Linked DNA regions of Saccharomyces cerevisiae S288C. Changing the gene in region 4 together with the main gene of any one other region gives a genetic interaction. Each region holds a gene or a part of one and is shown on either strand. Other genes may lie near its edges. The genes, in order: NUP188, ASM4, NUP133 and POM34.

The links.
Region 1: mutations in POM34 (region 4) and NUP188 together harm fitness more than expected from each alone (negative genetic interaction), as found in Saccharomyces cerevisiae (7 studies listed by BioGRID, with this or other methods).
Region 2: mutations in POM34 (region 4) and ASM4 together harm fitness more than expected from each alone (negative genetic interaction), as found in Saccharomyces cerevisiae (7 studies listed by BioGRID, with this or other methods).
Region 3: mutations in POM34 (region 4) and NUP133 together harm fitness more than expected from each alone (negative genetic interaction), as found in Saccharomyces cerevisiae (5 studies listed by BioGRID, with this or other methods).

Annotation. Positions count from the first base shown.
Region 1 is NC_001145.3:62,082-69,182, forward strand, and holds NUP188 (Nup188p), read right to left. Parts: upstream 5,469-7,101; coding exon 501-5,468; downstream 1-500. Other genes in the region: MDM1 (Mdm1p), read right to left, coding at 1-241; CAC2 (Cac2p), read left to right, coding at 6,213-7,101. UniProt on the Saccharomyces cerevisiae protein: Functions as a component of the nuclear pore complex (NPC).
Region 2 is NC_001136.10:297,911-301,961, reverse strand, and holds ASM4 (FG-nucleoporin ASM4), read left to right. Parts: upstream 1-1,958; coding exon 1,959-3,545; downstream 3,546-4,051. Other genes in the region: YDL086W (carboxymethylenebutenolidase), read right to left, coding at 1-549; LUC7 (Luc7p), read left to right, coding at 963-1,748; NUR1 (Nur1p), read right to left, coding at 3,688-4,051. UniProt on the Saccharomyces cerevisiae protein: Functions as a component of the nuclear pore complex (NPC).
Region 3 is NC_001143.9:590,963-596,854, forward strand, and holds NUP133 (Nup133p), read left to right. Parts: upstream 1-1,862; coding exon 1,863-5,336; downstream 5,337-5,892. Other genes in the region: MTD1 (methylenetetrahydrofolate dehydrogenase (NAD(+))), read left to right, coding at 1-395; rRNA-binding ribosome biosynthesis protein RPF2, read right to left, coding at 544-1,578; DAD2 (Dad2p), read right to left, coding at 5,459-5,860. UniProt on the Saccharomyces cerevisiae protein: Functions as a component of the nuclear pore complex (NPC).
Region 4 is NC_001144.5:178,178-181,186, reverse strand, and holds POM34 (Pom34p), read left to right. Parts: upstream 1-1,580; coding exon 1,581-2,480; downstream 2,481-3,009. Other genes in the region: PSR2 (putative phosphatase), read right to left, coding at 1-899; MEU1 (S-methyl-5-thioadenosine phosphorylase), read right to left, coding at 2,566-3,009. UniProt on the Saccharomyces cerevisiae protein: Functions as a component of the nuclear pore complex (NPC).

The DNA.
Region 1 (7,101 bases), on a different chromosome or scaffold from region 4:
TTAAACCCTCGACAGACTTCAATTCTTTATCAACATCCACAGTATTCGAACTTTCCGGTACGATATCAACAAATCTTGGCTGAGGTTTCGGTAAATCAGGCAAGGATTTGAAGAATACGAAGTACGCAAAGATGCAGACATTAAGAAAGAACCCCAGCGAAAAAGTGATTACCGACCATTGTATCATTGATATTAAGTAAAACAAAACTAAAATCAATCGAAACTGTGGAAACTTAGGCATACGATATCATATCAGAAGGCACAAACACGCGCACTTATGGCGCTTTCAAAGCATGAGAGTCTTCGGTTAATTTACTTATCTTATTGTTTACATATTTTTGAAGTTCGTAAGGCGATGAAAAAAAAAAGTACACAATGGATAGAACTGGGATGGAAAAAGCTCATACAGTCGCAGTCCGCAGTATAGCAACAAAGGGCCACCCTTGCACTTGCACTGTTCATTATTATATTATGTAGCTTTACATAACCTGCAAAATAAGTTAAACGTCCTTAAATAGTGAATCTTGTAATGCTTTAATGTCTCTGCTGATACCCTTGACGAACTCCAATCTGCTTGATTCATCCTCCAACTGCTGTTGCTCTTCTAAAGTTGTAGGTATTATTCTTGAATTCAAGTATTTTGGATGTGTTAGAAACTTGCTTAATGCAGCGCTTAACCTTTTTTTATCATGTTCAGAATCTAGACCAATAACCAATTCTACAGCTTCTTGTTGATCATCAGAGTTTTTAGGCTGAATAAACAATTCTTGGTAATTTAGCAAGTTTAGCATTTTTTGCAATAAAACCAATTGATTCGTTTCCTTTATCAACGAACTTGACACTGCTAACTTGTTGTCACCCCAGTTATATATTGTAGATTTTATTTGTTTTCCAAAATATGAAACAAATAGGCACGTCTCAGGTAAAACCTTGATACCGAACTGACTTAATAGTAGTAGAACAATGGATAACAAACCATTGCTCCAAATGTTGTGCAATCTAGGCGAAAATTCAGGTTTTATATCACCTTGCTGTATTGCAACAGATAGTGGACTTTCCAATAGAACGCTATACAATCCACTGTTGATGAGTTTTGCAGCAATTGGCTCAATAGAACACAATTCGGAGATAAAGGTCAGAGTAATTTGCCCAAGAATTGGTTCATCGTTAATCCTTATCAAATGCGCGCTTGAATATAGGTTCAGTATAACTTTCAAAGTTCCTACTTCGTTTAGGGATGATGCTAGAATAACATTGAAGTTTTTAGAGGGATTCACATTGGTGATCTTCTTGAAGAGTGATAATAATAACAATAAATCCTGAGTATTATCCTCCAAGTTGACAATTTGGGTGGTGTGATCGGTGCTTAAACCCCTCGTGGAGCATTTATTGATCTGACATAATATCTCAGACAGTATCAAATAAACACCCTTACTAAACACTAATTCAAAAAATTCCAGTAGTTGATCAGATATTAATTCGATAAAACGATCTCCTGACGAGACTAACTCGAGAAGAACTAAGACAGATCTCAAAAGAGGTCTATAAAAGTTATTTTTTAGTGACTTACCAATATTTTTAATAAAGTCAATCTCACCAGATTTGAAAATTGTAAAAATCTTGTTCATCAATTCAATTATCTTTTCTTCCTTCAACAATTTTCCCGACAACTTGAACGAATATAAAATGTAAAACGACAACTCAATTCTTTCCAGATATATTTGGGTAAACATTTGTTTATCTGAACCAAAATCAATATTTAACTTGAGGAAATGCTCTACCAAGTCGACAAAACCATCATTTAACGGAACAGTGCTCCTCTTCACAAACGTGGTGATTAGTGCGCCCCATGCTTTTGCGGTAGATATTTCGTAATTGACATACTGCAAATTTAATGAAGCGTCTGTTATTTCCTCCTTAAAATTTGTCTGACTCTTACTTGGTTCGTTCCAACTACGGTCAGCTTTTAAAACTATATCTAATAACGGAATATCATAACCGAAATTCTCATTTTCGTTTATTCTGGATAATGGAATTTTTTGGAACGACTGAAGCTCTAAACTGGGCCATTTCTCTTTAAATTTTAAGTTTAATTCATCATGAAAAGTTTTATTGAACCCATCAATTTGGAAGAAATGATGAACTAATTCAAACAAGTCTTCCTGATTCAAAAAATTTAAAATTTCCGAGTTTGAATCAGTGGAGTTGTAAATACACAACGCAAATATTTCTACAATCCTTGAGATCAATTTGTATTTCTTAATCAAAGAAACAGTTTCGTCACGAGTCAAATTTTCCTTTTTCTGAAATAATTTTTTTGAGTCCTTCAACTTAGCCAATAAGGAATTCACAAATTTAGGATCTTTTATGAATATTTTAGAATTTGTCCAAGTGTTTAAAACATATGTTATCGTTTCTAATAACTTGCAACTTACTTCTTCAGGCGTTGAATCTAATAGTAAAGAATTCTTTTGCAAAACAGTTAATATAGAACTCTTTTTGTCTATGGAGGATTCGTCATTAATTTTTTTATTGGAGGCAAATTGACCTGTTAAGAAGAGGATAGATAACCCATCTTGTTTACTTTCTAATAGGGTAGTAAAAAAAATGTACAAACTTCGGAGAAGGTTCCAATCTTGCACTGGAGAGCTCAGGTCCGACAGGACTTCTTTCAAAAATGCCATTGACTTTGCTTCACCAAGGAAAGATAACAGAAATGGATAGTCGTCATTCCAAGGAGCCTCTACTAAATAGCTTAACAACTCTATGATCTGCACTTTGAAATGAACATAACTTGGTAGGGTATAAACGTCAACCAATTTTGATGAATTTATGAAAAGCAATTTTTCCAGGTTGCTTGGCTTTAAATCACGATTGCTACCTCGAATAGCGATCAAAAGCGTGCACAGCTTGAAGGAGTTATTCATTACCTTGCTATATAAATTACCCAAAATTTTGTCGCCTAAAATTTTTGTTGTGGTATTCAATGGTGAAATCAGAATATTCGTCAAAGTATTTGGAGCCAAATCAATGGAATCCATGGGAGTCAAAAATAACTGCAACAATTTGTTTGCTGACGAGGAAATGATTAACTGATCCTTTTGATGTGGATTTATGGTGAAAACGTCATGAAGTACATCATAAAAAATTAATGTCAAATGGAAGGCAATTTCGAATTTTTGTAAGAAGTTGTTGTACTTCCAGTTGTAATAACTCTCAAAGATATGAATTGCATGTAGAATCAACTTATTAATAATATCAATTTTACTTCTCTTGGAAATATGGATATTTTTCAATGAGAGAGATTCTCGAATAAAGACTTTTGTTAGCTTAAGCAATTGGATAGTGAATGTGTAATCCCCCGTAGATAATTCAACCGAACCGAGTATCATATTGGAAAGACCAGTCTTACCATATTTGTCTAACAAATCCGATTTGTTCAAGTAAGAAGAAACAAGATGAAGGTAATTCGGTGTCAGCATAGTCATAAATTCACAACATTGTACAATTGAGGTATAATCTTTTCTTTGTAGTGATATTTCAAAAATCTCGAAAATTACTTGGATAATCGACGCTCCATTTATGGTGCTGGCTGAAGTATCCAGAGAATTTGATAAATATGACAGAATTTCACTAGATTTCTCGATCGAGGTTTTCGGATCGACAACGTTAGTGACTAACTTTATTATGGATATCATCAATTCATGTTGTAAGTCATCCAGTTGTGTACCCTTTTCCATATATGAATGTAATAGATTTTGCAATATTCTACCCACCAAAGACCAACCATTGAATTTGTAAAGGAAAATAATCAAATTGGAAGTAGTTGGCGGCTGTTGTCCATTCTGTTGTTGTTGTTGTTGTTGTTGTTGTTTGATAGTAAGAATTTTTCCCTTTGTTGATTTTGGTATTGACAAGAGACAATTAGAGTTTTCGTTTTCTAAGGGTGGCGCCACTAGTAAATCAGACTTCAACTCTATCAAATCAGGCACTATAATATCGGAGGATGAAGAAGAGTTTGTTATTGTATCAGCAATTAAGTCATAATCCAAATCGTTCAAACTACTTTTGGTAACAGCAAATGAACATATATCTTTTAATTCAAAATTGGCAAACTCGGTATCAATTAAGGCTAAATTAATTAGCGGGATCAGTGATTCGTTCAATAGGGGCAATTTAGCCTTTATGATGCTCAATTTTTTCTCAAAAGTGTCATTAGTTAAGAAATTCTCAATGAACTGCTCTGGTGCCTTTGAAATTATCTTGGCGAAAACCCGGGAAGTAGATGCAGTTATAGGAATAAAATTTAAAGAAAACTCCAAAAATACTGTTATTACTGTGGTGTAAACAGGATCAAAGGATAGAATTTCTGAGAGAGTATTCAATTTTTGAAGAACATCATGTGATTCAGCAAACAGAGCAAATTTCGTTATGTCTGAATCATCAAATGATTCCGACGATTGTAATGCTCGCCTATAATAAAGTATAAATGACCAGGAGTAATGAATCATTGGATGGAAAATGGGGTCCTCGTTGACGATATTGGTTGCTACATCATTCTCTAGAGCGCTATTGACGGTGTCGAAAGTTTCTGTATCCATGTACAAAGGTGACTGAATATCAAATTGCGCGATTGAAGTGTTCAGTCCAAGTATCAATATAGTTGTGATAGTAAATAAAGATGAAATCCTGGAAATAAGCGTTTCTGAGAGGTAACTGAGGTCTTGGAAATTCTGAAACTTGTACAATTGTAGTGACGAGGTATCTATACTCTTGTCTGTTGAATTTATATTTCTGCAAAATTCAACAAATTGATTTTGATACTGTAGAAACCATTGATTGACGATATCTACTGGTACTTTTGTGTTGAGGATCATTAAATTCAAAATTTGTAATATCTGCAAGATAAACTTCAAATCAGAAAATTTTTTTAACTGCACCAATGAGACAATTGTGAACATGTCTTGATCGTTATTATAATCATGTGCTAAAGATGAAGCTGTAATAATGTCGTAGTTCTGGATTACAGATGATATTATAGAAATCAATTTCCCCACTACATTGAATCTATCGTTGTCAATAAATGAATATGTCTCGAGGTCGATGTCAGGGTTAACGAGAAGTGAGTATACTATATGAAGTCTAGATGATCTCTCAGACATAAAGAATTCTACAGCATGAGAAAGGTCCTCAGATTGAGCAAAGAATGGATCATTATCGACGTTTATTTGCAATAAGTTTGCAATTGTAGAGCGTAACTTGTTATGATCGCCGGAAGAAGTTACATTCTGCCTTATTGTGTTCAGACTCTCGATAAGATTTGTCTTGTTAGCTTTCAAAAACTGTCTTATTTGGGCCAATTGCTTGGCATCCACAGCGGATACATCAGCAGCAGCATCGTTCATAAAATTAGCAACATGAGTGAAGGTCAATTGTGGAGAGGAATTGCCAAATGAAGGTGTAGCCATGGCTGATGGGGTCCTTTTTTTAGCGGTGGAAAGGGTTATCTCTTTATTTGTGTTTCTGTTCGAATATTAAAGATGTCTCAAAGTATTCATTTCAAGAAGAAAATTTTTGGTATTACAAAATATTCTTACCCGGAATATATACATATATACCTTAACTACAAGCAGGAGCCGGCTTTCTGGCAAGGAGGGAGAAGACATAGATTGTTTGCGTATATATGTGGGAATAGCGTCCAAGCACGCCCGTGGCTGAGGGAGCACCACGATCGTTCGGTGTACTTGACACCTCTATATGGTATGTTCTTCCCTGATATTGATATCAGCACAATTACGGCTCTAAGAAACGATGAATATAAAAAACGTTAATTAGGAATTTGACATATGTGCTAGTATTCGGGCCCCTGAGCAAGTTTGTGCGCACGACGCCTGTCCGTTGCTGCACATGCTTGCGTGGGGCCTTTTTGTCGTGTTTTTATTTAGGGACTGTTATCGAAGGAATAGATTTCTGTGGTGAAAAGTAGAAAACTACTAGCTTTTATAGACGGTGGGGGAGAAAAAGGAAAATTAGAATTGAAAAAAATTTGAAAAAATATGAAAATGTGAAAAGGACGCCTTATTTCCTTGGGTTGCCCGGCGAACACGTTAGTTAACTCGCTGTCTAACTGATGGGCTATTATTATAGCGTTATAGTACGTATCAGAATTTAAAAGAAGGAGGCAGAAAAGCTTAGAGCAAAGGGGCAGGACAATGGAAGCTTCACATTTGCAAATCTACTGGCATGATTCACAACCCGTTTACTCGCTCACATTCCAAAAGAACAGTGCGAACGACAAGCTTTTCACCGCTGGTGGTGATAACAAGGTTAGGATATGGAAGTTGAACAGAGATGAAAACGGACAAAATGGGGGGGTGCGTAAGATTGAAAGCCTTGACTTTCTTGGCTCGCTGACGCATCACGAACAGGCCATAAATGTAATCCGATTCAACTCGAAGGGTGACGTACTGGCGTCTGCGGGCGATGACGGCCAAGTGCTGCTATGGAAGCAAGAAGATCCAAATACACAGCAAGAATCTGTGGTCAGACCATTCGGAATGGATGCGGAGACTAGTGAAGCAGACGAGAACAAGGAGAAATGGGTTGTGTGGAAACGGCTGCGTGGTGGTAGCGGTGCTACTGCGGCGGCAGAGATTTACGATCTAGCGTGGTCACCTGATAACAGGAACATAGTGGTGGCATGTATGGACAATTCGATACGACTGTTCGATGTTGGAGCTGGGATGCTGGTATGCGGCCAGTCGGATCATGGTCACTACGTCCAAGGTGTTGCATGGGACCCATTAAATCAGTTTATTCTCTCACAGTCTGCGGACCGGTCTCTGCATGTATATGGAGTCATTCTTTCATCTGCAGGAGTGGTTACAGGGCTGAAACTTAGAAGTAAGATTGCCAAGGCAGAACTGCCTTGTCCAGGTGATGTCCTGAGGACAAATTACCTTTTTCACAACGAGACGCTACCTTCATTCTTTAGGCGATGCAGCATATCGCCTTGTGGTGGTTTGGTCGTAATTCCCAGTGGTGTGTATAAGGTGGCTGGTGATGAAGTCGCGAACTGCGTATACGTGTATACTAGATCTG
Region 2 (4,051 bases), on a different chromosome or scaffold from region 4:
CATTTCTTGGTTATTACCCAACTCCTTCGAAACACGTTCCAAAGAGTTATCGTTCTGGCCAAGACCTAAGGTTCTGGAATGGATGTCGGTAGGGAAGAAGCAGGTTGCGCAGGTAACCCTTTTGTCCAGGAGCGCTCTAAAAGCCAAATGGCCACCTAAACACATTCCTGTGGAACCAATTCTCTTACCATCGAATTGGGGTAACTGGAAAAGTAGATCGCAACACAGTTTGTTGTCCTCATCGTATGATTCTAACGGCTTCTTGATCTTGTACTCGTTACCAATATCGGTACCCTGCACGTCATAGGGCAACGCTTCAGGGCCCATAAAGTTGTGGTATATGGCAGGTGCCACCACAACGTAACCTTCAGACGCAATTCTTTGACCAAAACGACGAACCGGACCCGTCACTTGGTAAATTTCACTGTACAGAATCACCCCAGGAAACTTAGCTTGTGGATAGCCTGCAATCTTAGGAGAATATACGTATATACGCAGAGTGGTGCCGTATGATGTCTGCACATCATGAAAGGTCTCAGTAATCAACATTGTTTGCTTTATCTACTACCACGAGTTTATTACGGCGTCATTTTCAGTCTGACCCTTCTTTTATATAGTTTCTCCTAGTGAGGTTTTTCCGATAAAATTTCTTCCTGATCTTCACAAAGCATCCAGCAAAGTAGGAAAAAAGCTGAAAACCCGACGAAGGGTACTTGTTGAAAGCCATTGAGGTATTGATGGTTGGTGGTAGTATGCTATCTGAAGATAGGCCACATGATTTAGGTAAAGGAGCTGGCCATCGCTAACTGACTAGTCGTATTCTTCCACATCATGGCAACTTCCTTAATGTATTACCCGAATAACCGCCGAAGCCTCAGGCATTAGAGAAGAAAGAAAAGAACAAAAAGTTATACTACAAAAGGCTCTACACTCCCAGCAGAAAGCTGCCAACTACCGTCAGAATGTCAACTATGTCAACGCCTGCCGCAGAACAACGCAAACTCGTCGAACAGCTGATGGGCAGGGACTTCAGTTTCCGCCACAACAGGTATTCGCATCAAAAAAGAGACCTCGGACTACACGATCCCAAGATCTGCAAGTCATACCTTGTTGGCGAGTGCCCCTACGACCTGTTTCAGGGCACCAAGCAGAGCCTGGGAAAATGCCCGCAGATGCATCTTACCAAGCATAAAATTCAGTACGAGAGAGAGGTCAAGCAGGGCAAAACGTTTCCCGAATTCGAAAGAGAATATCTGGCCATTCTATCTCGGTTTGTTAATGAGTGTAATGGCCAGATATCCGTAGCACTACAAAATCTAAAACACACCGCTGAGGAACGAATGAAGATTCAGCAGGTTACCGAAGAACTAGATGTCTTGGACGTGCGGATAGGCCTAATGGGACAAGAGATTGATTCTTTAATTCGTGCAGATGAAGTCAGTATGGGTATGCTACAGTCAGTCAAATTACAAGAACTGATTAGTAAAAGGAAAGAAGTTGCAAAACGTGTACGAAACATTACAGAAAACGTGGGCCAGAGCGCCCAGCAAAAGTTACAGGTTTGCGAGGTGTGTGGGGCATACCTATCGCGTTTAGATACAGACAGAAGGCTTGCTGACCACTTCTTGGGGAAGATTCATCTGGGATATGTCAAGATGAGAGAGGATTATGATCGGCTAATGAAGAATAACCGGACAACTAACGCCAGCAAGACAGCTACTACACTACCCGGAAGACGCTTTGTGTAGGGCCATACATAAAAAAATGATGCTAGAAAAATTTTGTTCGAAGGAGAGTACTTATGAAAGAAGAAAGGTTTGTGAATATCACACACATACCTCTGCATAGTTTATTTCCCGATAAGGTAGACATATCGTTTCCCTATCTATTTAAGTTTTTTATTCGCTCTCTTTTTTTTTTTTTCTCTGTAACCTGAAAACAAGGAACGGCAAATTAAAATGTTTGGAATACGTTCAGGCAATAATAACGGTGGATTTACTAACCTCACGTCGCAAGCACCACAGACAACCCAGATGTTTCAATCGCAATCACAGTTGCAGCCACAACCGCAACCGCAACCACAACAACAGCAGCAACACTTGCAATTCAATGGATCATCCGATGCAAGTTCTTTACGATTTGGAAACTCACTTTCCAATACTGTAAACGCCAATAACTATAGTAGTAATATCGGTAACAATAGCATCAACAACAACAACATTAAAAACGGCACAAATAACATAAGCCAACATGGCCAAGGGAATAATCCTAGCTGGGTGAATAATCCTAAAAAGAGATTCACTCCTCATACGGTGATAAGAAGGAAGACAACAAAGCAAAATTCTTCTTCTGACATCAACCAGAATGATGATTCATCTTCTATGAACGCTACTATGAGAAATTTCAGTAAGCAAAATCAAGATTCCAAGCATAATGAAAGAAATAAGTCTGCGGCAAATAATGACATCAATTCTCTGTTGTCAAATTTTAACGATATTCCACCCTCCGTTACTTTACAGGATTGGCAACGCGAGGATGAATTCGGTTCTATTCCATCATTAACAACTCAGTTTGTTACCGACAAATACACGGCGAAGAAAACAAATAGGTCAGCTTATGATTCCAAAAATACTCCAAATGTTTTTGATAAAGACTCTTATGTTAGAATAGCAAACATTGAACAGAACCATTTAGATAATAATTACAACACCGCCGAAACAAACAATAAAGTCCATGAAACATCTTCCAAGTCTTCTAGTTTGAGCGCAATTATCGTATTTGGCTATCCTGAATCAATTTCCAATGAATTGATTGAACACTTCTCCCATTTCGGTCATATTATGGAAGACTTTCAAGTATTGCGATTGGGTCGCGGGATTAACCCCAACACCTTCAGAATATTCCATAATCATGATACAGGCTGTGATGAAAACGATTCTACTGTTAATAAATCTATTACTTTAAAAGGCAGAAATAATGAGTCGAATAACAAAAAATATCCAATATTTACTGGTGAAAGTTGGGTCAAACTCACTTATAATTCTCCATCTTCTGCTTTGAGAGCACTGCAGGAAAATGGAACCATATTTCGCGGTTCTTTGATTGGTTGCATCCCATATTCAAAAAATGCGGTGGAGCAATTAGCTGGCTGCAAAATTGATAATGTCGACGACATTGGAGAATTCAACGTTTCTATGTATCAAAATTCCTCCACATCGTCGACATCTAATACACCATCCCCACCAAACGTAATAATAACTGATGGCACTCTTCTGAGGGAAGACGATAATACTCCTGCCGGTCATGCTGGTAATCCAACAAATATTTCAAGTCCAATAGTAGCAAATTCTCCGAATAAGCGGCTGGATGTAATAGATGGCAAATTGCCATTCATGCAAAATGCAGGACCGAATTCGAATATTCCTAATCTGTTGCGAAACCTAGAATCGAAAATGCGTCAGCAAGAAGCGAAATACAGAAATAATGAACCTGCTGGTTTTACGCACAAACTGAGTAATTGGTTATTTGGTTGGAATGACCTATAACAGAAATCGTCCAGCTAATTATTCATGAACATTTACAATACTTCATACATTTATTATTTTGATAACTTTTCAAACAGCATTGTTTTACTTTTGTTTATTGATTTTTACGTAACTGTATATACTTAGACATAATTAAGAAACGTTATCTTTTGTGATAGTTCTTCTTTTTCTTTGGAGAGCGAAGAATGGAATTAATATCATTCTTATTCAATACATTGAACTCTGAGCCTTCAAACCTTTTCTGTCGTGCGCTTAAAGGCGTTTTTCTCAATGGGCTCAGGGATTTCGATGGTCTATTTTGGTCTTGATTCGGCAGGTAAGCTCCGCCCTTCTCTAAATTTTCATTTGACGATGATTGAGCCAAATTGTTATCCAAAACTTTATCCCTATAATATGGGGACATTCTAGGAGAATAATGAAAACCAATGGGATGACTTTGATGGTCAGATACTTGAGAAATGCCTCCATAATCCTTTATTCTGGTTTCACGGGATCCTGGCACACTT
Region 3 (5,892 bases), on a different chromosome or scaffold from region 4:
GTAGACCACTGGCGGCGCTATTAGCCAATGACGGTGCCACAGTATACTCTGTGGACGTTAACAACATTCAAAAATTCACCCGTGGTGAAAGTTTGAAATTAAACAAGCATCATGTGGAAGACCTTGGGGAGTACTCTGAAGATCTGTTGAAAAAGTGTTCTCTTGATTCAGATGTGGTCATCACTGGTGTCCCTAGTGAAAATTACAAATTCCCCACCGAATACATCAAAGAAGGTGCCGTCTGCATCAATTTTGCATGCACCAAAAATTTTAGCGATGATGTCAAGGAAAAAGCTTCTCTTTACGTTCCAATGACTGGTAAAGTTACCATTGCAATGTTGTTGAGAAACATGTTACGTTTAGTAAGGAACGTAGAACTGTCTAAAGAAAAATAGAACATTTGTGGCTGTTCAAATAAGCATAGGTAAAACAGAATACATAAAAATAAGGGAAAAAAAGAAAGATCATTTGTAATGTACTTACTACATACATATAGAATTCTCCTCTCTTAGATTATCATATAATATACAAAGTTTATGGGTCTTATTTCTTCTGTCTTTTAGCAGAGGGCTCAATATCAGTGGCACTGACGAACTCTTCTTCGTATTCTTGTCCATCATCCGAATACGACGCTTCATCTTCGTAGTCTTCATCTACCTCTCCATCACCTTCTTCAGTTCCTTGGTCGAATTTGGATTTCAAACCCTTCATCTTTCTTGTTTGTAGTTTACCCAAATCTTGTTTGCCCATATGGATTCTACCCAATTTATCACCCATGATATCTAATTCTACATTCTTCTTTGTCTTCATTTCTAATTGTTTTGGCTTCTTGTGAGCTTCAGTGACCATATCTGGACTTGGAGTATGAATTCTGCCGATTTTGAAATCTAGACGTGGCCCAATCTCCACCAATTCAATACGTGGTAATCTCTTACCACCTTGGTCGCTTTTATAACTTTTTAATTTGTAAACACGGAATAGAACGTTCGGCAATGGCTCACCATCTTGGAAGTCACCTTGAATGGTCATGGAAATGACATGTTGTAATCCCGCAACATCCTGTAAATCAGTAGATTCGCCTCTAAAGAAATCTAAAAACAAAGATTTAATTTGCTTGTATACGGGATGTGTATCAAATGCAGCACCTTGGAATGTAAACATAGGCTTCAACCCTACAGTAAATGTTAATTTCTTAAAATCAGATAACAACTTGAAATTATCTGCAACCATTAGTTCAATCATATCATATATTTTGTAGCCAAATGTACGTATAAAGGTCATGTTGTTTTTACGCTTTTTGGAACTTGTCATCAGCACCATCAATGAACAGTCATTCTTTTCACTAAAGAACTCTAGTGGCGACATGTCTTCGAAAGGATGAATATCATTCTTACGATTGAACCTCTTCATATCTGGCTTCTTCAAGGCACTCAAATCTACCATAATATCGTGCAGATTCTTGTTACAGCTTTGCCCTGGAATGAATAGCGCTTGCTTGACATTCTCTACCAACTTAGCTTCCCTCTTTACCAAAGCTCTCTTGGCTCTTGCATTCTTGGGTTTTACGGTTCTAATCATTTTTTCTGCCAGTGTTCTCCTGCGCTTTTGGATATGATAACTTCAATACAACTCATCGATATACCAAATCACTTTCCAATAATGCATTACACTATAAGAAAATTCGATCCTTAGCTCATCGCAAAAAAATGAAAAATTTTCAAATCGTATAAAACGATATATTTGAGGATTTAGGAATCAAAATAGCAGAATAAACCAAAACATACACCATTTAGGAATAAGGTTTAGAGGAGCTCGAGCATACTGTTACATCCAATTCAAGTGAAGTACATTAGGATAGCCATATGAGTGAAAAAAAAGTACATCTTCGTTTGCGGAAGGAACTTAGCGTACCCATTGCGGTGGTTGAAAACGAATCCCTGGCGCAGTTGTCTTATGAAGAGGAAAGCCAGGCCTCTCTAATGGACATTTCCATGGAGCAGCAACAGTTAAGGTTACATTCGCACTTTGATAATTCCAAGGTTTTCACAGAAAATAACAGATACATAGTAAAAACCCTTCAAACAGACTACAGTAGCGGATTCAGTAACGATGACGAATTGAATGGATATATCGATATGCAAATTGGATATGGACTAGTCAATGACCACAAGAAGGTTTACATCTGGAATATTCACTCCACTCAAAAGGATACGCCCTATATAACTGTACCATTTCGTTCTGATGATAATGATGAAATAGCAGTCGCGCCCAGGTGCATACTAACTTTCCCTGCTACAATGGATGAGTCTCCATTAGCACTGAATCCTAATGATCAGGACGAAACCGGAGGGCTTATCATTATCAAAGGTAGCAAAGCGATATATTATGAGGATATCAACTCCATAAATAATTTGAACTTTAAGTTATCTGAAAAATTCTCTCACGAGTTAGAATTACCCATCAACTCTTCGGGCGGAGAGAAGTGTGACCTAATGTTAAACTGCGAACCTGCTGGTATAGTGCTTTCTACAAATATGGGCAGAATATTTTTTATAACCATTAGAAATTCCATGGGTAAACCTCAACTGAAGTTAGGCAAACTATTAAATAAACCTTTCAAATTGGGTATCTGGTCCAAAATTTTCAATACAAACAGTTCAGTTGTCTCATTACGAAATGGACCTATCCTCGGTAAGGGGACAAGGTTAGTATATATTACTACTAACAAAGGAATTTTTCAAACATGGCAGTTGTCTGCCACGAATTCCCATCCAACAAAATTGATTGATGTAAACATTTACGAAGCCATTTTAGAGTCGCTCCAGGATTTGTATCCATTTGCTCATGGTACGTTGAAGATTTGGGACTCTCATCCATTACAAGATGAAAGTTCACAACTTTTCCTGTCATCTATTTACGACAGTTCATGCAATGAAACATATTATATTCTTTCCACGATTATCTTCGATTCTTCTTCTAATAGTTTTACTATTTTTTCCACTTATAGATTGAACACTTTTATGGAGTCAATAACCGACACAAAGTTTAAGCCTAAGATATTTATACCTCAGATGGAGAATGCTAACGATACCAATGAGGTAACTTCCATTTTGGTAATGTTCCCCAATGCTGTTGTCATTACTCAGGTGAACTCAAAATTGGACTCTAGCTATTCAATGAGAAGAAAGTGGGAAGATATTGTTAGCCTTAGAAATGACATTGATATAATTGGTTCTGGTTACGACTCAAAATCTTTGTATGTTTTAACGAAACAAATGGGGGTGCTACAGTTTTTTGTGAAAGAGAATGAGGAAACAAATTCTAAACCGGAAGTTGGGTTTGTCAAATCTCATGTTGATCAAGCTGTTTATTTCTCCAAAATAAATGCAAATCCCATAGATTTCAATTTACCTCCAGAAATTTCACTAGATCAAGAATCTATAGAGCATGATTTAAAATTAACCAGCGAGGAGATTTTTCATTCCAACGGCAAGTACATACCCCCTATGCTAAATACGTTGGGGCAACATCTCTCTGTCCGTAAAGAATTTTTTCAAAATTTCCTGACATTTGTTGCTAAGAACTTCAACTATAAAATATCACCCGAACTGAAATTGGATCTGATCGAAAAATTTGAGATCTTGAATTGCTGTATTAAGTTCAATAGTATCATCAGACAATCTGATGTATTGAACGATATATGGGAGAAGACTTTATCAAACTATAATCTGACACAAAATGAACACTTAACTACTAAAACAGTTGTAATCAACAGTCCCGACGTATTTCCAGTAATCTTTAAACAATTTTTAAACCATGTTGTGTTTGTTTTGTTCCCATCACAAAATCAAAATTTCAAACTAAATGTTACCAATTTAATCAACTTATGCTTTTATGATGGAATTCTTGAAGAAGGTGAAAAAACTATAAGGTATGAACTTTTGGAGTTAGACCCGATGGAGGTTGATACATCCAAGCTACCATGGTTCATAAACTTTGATTACTTAAACTGTATCAATCAATGTTTTTTTGATTTTACATTTGCGTGTGAGGAGGAAGGAAGTCTGGATTCTTATAAAGAGGGCTTGTTAAAGATTGTGAAAATTTTATATTATCAGTTCAACCAATTTAAAATATGGATCAACACGCAACCCGTTAAATCTGTGAACGCCAATGATAATTTTATAAATATCAACAATCTTTATGATGATAACCACCTGGATTGGAACCACGTCCTTTGTAAGGTAAATCTAAAAGAACAGTGTATTCAAATAGCAGAATTTTACAAAGATTTATCTGGATTGGTGCAAACATTACAAACTTTAGATCAAAATGACTCAACAACCGTATCGCTATACGAAACATTCTTCAACGAATTCCCTAAAGAGTTTAGCTTTACATTATTTGAATATTTAATCAAGCATAAAAAATTGAACGACCTCATCTTCAGGTTCCCACAACAACACGATGTTTTAATACAGTTTTTCCAAGAGTCCGCTCCAAAGTACGGTCATGTAGCATGGATCCAACAGATTCTGGATGGGTCGTACGCAGATGCCATGAATACTTTAAAAAACATTACTGTTGATGATTCAAAGAAGGGCGAAAGCTTGAGCGAATGTGAATTGCACTTGAATGTTGCAAAATTAAGCTCGTTGCTAGTTGAAAAGGATAATTTGGACATTAATACTTTGAGAAAGATCCAATATAATTTAGATACAATTGATGCTGAGAAAAATATTTCAAACAAATTGAAAAAGGGCGAAGTTCAGATATGTAAACGCTTCAAGAATGGCTCTATCAGGGAAGTTTTCAACATATTAGTGGAAGAGCTTAAATCAACAACAGTAGTCAATCTATCGGATCTCGTTGAGTTGTATTCTATGCTCGACGATGAAGAGAGCTTATTCATACCGCTAAGGCTTCTTTCTGTTGATGGAAACTTACTGAATTTTGAAGTTAAAAAGTTCTTGAATGCTTTGGTATGGAGAAGAATCGTTCTACTAAATGCTAGTAATGAAGGAGATAAACTGCTTCAGCATATAGTCAAACGTGTTTTTGATGAAGAACTACCCAAAAATAATGATTTCCCCTTGCCCAGTGTGGATCTTTTATGTGACAAATCGTTACTGACGCCAGAATACATAAGCGAAACATATGGCAGGTTTCCTATTGATCAGAATGCCATACGTGAAGAGATATATGAAGAAATATCTCAAGTGGAAACGTTGAACTCAGACAACTCACTCGAGATAAAGTTGCACTCGACTATTGGTTCTGTAGCGAAAGAAAAAAACTATACCATCAACTATGAAACCAACACTGTAGAATACTAATATCTATAATACAATTTTACATATATATAATAAACTTTACTGGGGAATGATAATAATAAATATGTATATGCTATTATCGCAACTGCCTTCTTCCGATTTATATAAGATCCTTTTCTTTCTGTTCATTCGTTACCATCTACCCTAATTCTGACCATTGTTTCCGGCAAGGGTACCAGATCTTCATCCTCATCATTATCTTCATCATTCTTATCATTTTCTTGCGCTTCAAGACCTGTTTCATTTGATTGTTCAGATTCCTTTTTCTTAGAATCTTTCCACGGTCCTATCTCATAATCACCCTCTGCATATTGCAATAATCCCAAACTTGCTTGCGATATATTGTTTATTATAGAATCCCAATTGTTCATCAATTGGGCCACTGAATCCGCATTCATTCCCATTTCTTTGATCTGCTCATTCAACTCTGTTAGCTGAATTTTTAAGCCATCCGTTAAACTGGTTATCTTTTGTAATGACTGAAGTTCTTTTCGCTTTATAGCAATTTGTTCATCTATTGAATCCATAATAACTGTCTGAATTATGAGTTTTTCAAACC
Region 4 (3,009 bases):
AAAAGGGGGTTTGCATACCTCGAAACACTTGCCGTGAACACAACAACTTCGTATAGTTGACTCACCCTGTTCAAGAACTCATCGACGCCTGGCCTCTTAATAACATAGACATTGTGAACTTGATCATCGATTTCGACGGGCAAAACGAAATCAGCTGAATGCATATATTTAAAGGAAGAATGTACCAAAGTTTCGTCTAGATCCAATATCAGACATTTTTTCTGTTGAAATTCTTGCAACTTGGGTGGTAGCAGAGTGTCGTATCCGGGGGCATGGTACTGGTCTGGTTGCAAATGCGTCAGGTCAGAGAAGTCCTCCTCCGTTGTAGGTATCAAGTTTAAATCATTATCAGGACTGCTGGCGACATATTGTGGATTCATATCTTCTTGACCCACCTGATACAGACCCTGTTGTGGTGGCGCCTCGTCATTAATACTGGAATTTCTATCTGCGTCAACGTTATATTCATGAACGACATGGTCTTGCTTTTCTTTTGCTTCGTCATCTTCTTCTTCTTCTTCTCCGGCATTGTTAACCTCCGTCATTTCTACGTCTCCTTCATTATAATCTTCATATTCTTTCTCCTCATCGTACGAGTTGTTGGAGTGATCTCTTGATAAAGGTGCTAGTTTTCCATTGCCGCTATTCCCATTCTCCTGCATTGTCTTGGAACCCGCATTGCTGCCTGAATCGGAACTAGACAAAAGGATCTCCGGTGTGGAATATTGCATCTTGTCGCCGTTTGGAGTAGCCTTCTGCTTACGACCCTGAGTTTGAGCTTTGTTTGAACTGTGCTTACGGTTGCGGTTGCGGTTGTGATTAGTTTCTGGTGGTTGGCGTTGACGATGTGTTTTGGAAGTATCTGAAGAACAGCACAGTATATTTGCTATAAATCCCATCTGATGATGATCTGAAAAAGCTCCCTAAAACAGACAGAGAAGCACTCTTCACTCAGTTTTTATTGCCAAATAAGTGGAAAATTAAAACGAAAGAACTCAAAAGCAGCACTGCGCTCGAAGAAAGATATATCTTAGCTTAAATCCTCTCCAAAAGGGGAGAACGAAGAATATGTGTAAATTAAGCGATGCTTCGTGGGTTTCTTTTACGCGCTGCGAAAAAGATAATCAAATCTCTAAATTTTAGAAATATAAGCCAGTCGGTAGCCCCCACAAGTCAATTATATATGTCAAAGTTCGTGGCACTGTGGACTGCTTTCATAAAGCTTCTCTTTATCTGTTCCTTAGACTGTGAATACTGAGGTTTTCTAAAAAAAAGCAAAAAAAAAAAAAGAGGGTCCAAACCTATTAACTTCAGGGTTTAAGTATCTTTTTTGTAGGTTATAATGTTCTTTTTATAAACCTTTCTCAGGTTATAATAATATTTCTCAGGTCTAATTAGGGCTAAAGTCTAAAGAAAAATGAAAAAAAAAAAAAATGAAATTTGTGCTAATAGTAATAATGATAGAAATAATAACAATTAATAAGATGGTTATGATGAACAAAAAGATTTATATTATAAGAACTTGACAATATACAGACTTTTAATATATCCGCAGAGGCAAAAAAATAATAGAGGGAACTATGAAGATTCAGGCGGGCCAATTGGGCCTGGACGATAATGACGTGCCGGGACCATTGCCGGACACAGACAGCAAACCCTCATCACAATCACAAAATGACACACCAATGTTTAAATTGGGCAACTTTGAAAGTCCTGTGCTCAAGGAGCTATCACGGCGAACGGTAAACAAGGAAATGGAGACGCAGAGAATTATGACAAACGTAATTGCGTTTGCGTTCTGGAACCTGCTGGTGAAGTTCATCAAGTTCTTTTGGAACAACACTCATGTTGGGAGACAGTTTTGCAACCGGCTATCCAGAATCCATCTGTACATGTTGACATTTCACACGTTAAAGAAGGCTAACATCATATATCACACCACGTTCAGTTGGTTGAATGCAGAACTTCTTGACTACTTGTTCCACCTATTAATCTCGCTCAATATACTGTTTTCTCTTTGGAAGCTCTTATCCACCGTCAAAGTAAGTGATTTGAATCTCACTGACAGGCAAAAGAAGCTCCTGGGGGTAGACATGCAATCATCTGTCGATACTGGGTTGCAGCCACAACACCCCCACTACGTATCCACTTCTAAGATCAGCCAAATGGCACAGAACAAAACACATATTCCTCAAACAAATCTCAAAAATCATCCAGCATATCTCTTCAAAGGCTTAGAGACGCCTTTGAAAGCAAGACAAAGGGAAATGGCGGAGGAACAGACGAAACTACAATCTCAATCCTTACACACAAAGAATGTATTTGGCACACTGCAGAGGCATAGCGGTATCAGTAGCACATTAGTGAGCGCTAACAATGACAATAACTCGCCGCATACCCCTGTAACTAGGAAGGGCTACATTCCAAGTAGCAAATATGCATATATGATGAACTCACAGTCCCCAAGGGGGAAAATATAAAAACAGCAAAAAAACATTTAATACTTTCCATAGCTATATATGTTTTCTCTCCTATTTATATTTTACATATGATTAGCGGCAACCATTACCAATAGTTTGGAAATAAGTATCTTAGTCTTTCTAAGGTTTCCTTGGACATAGCCTCTGGTTTGGTAGAGATAGATTTCTTGATGGAACCGCGCAGCCCATCGCCAGTATGCATGAACTCTGGGATTTCCTTGGCCATTGAGACGATGATCTTAGAAGCTAAAATATTTGCATTGCGCCCATTATTCGTCAAATTACCAATAACGGTTTCTACGGTAACAGGTTCTGCCTCATCTCTCCATGCGTCGTAATCGGTAGACATACAAATCATCTGGTAAGGCAGCTCACACTCACGCGCCAATTTGGCTTCTGGAATAACACTCATGTTAATAACATGGCCACCAAACATTCTGTACATCTTGGATTCAGCGCGCGTGGAGAATTGTGGGCCTTCCATACACACAACGGTCATATCCTTGTCGTAATGCAAATGGCACGGTTC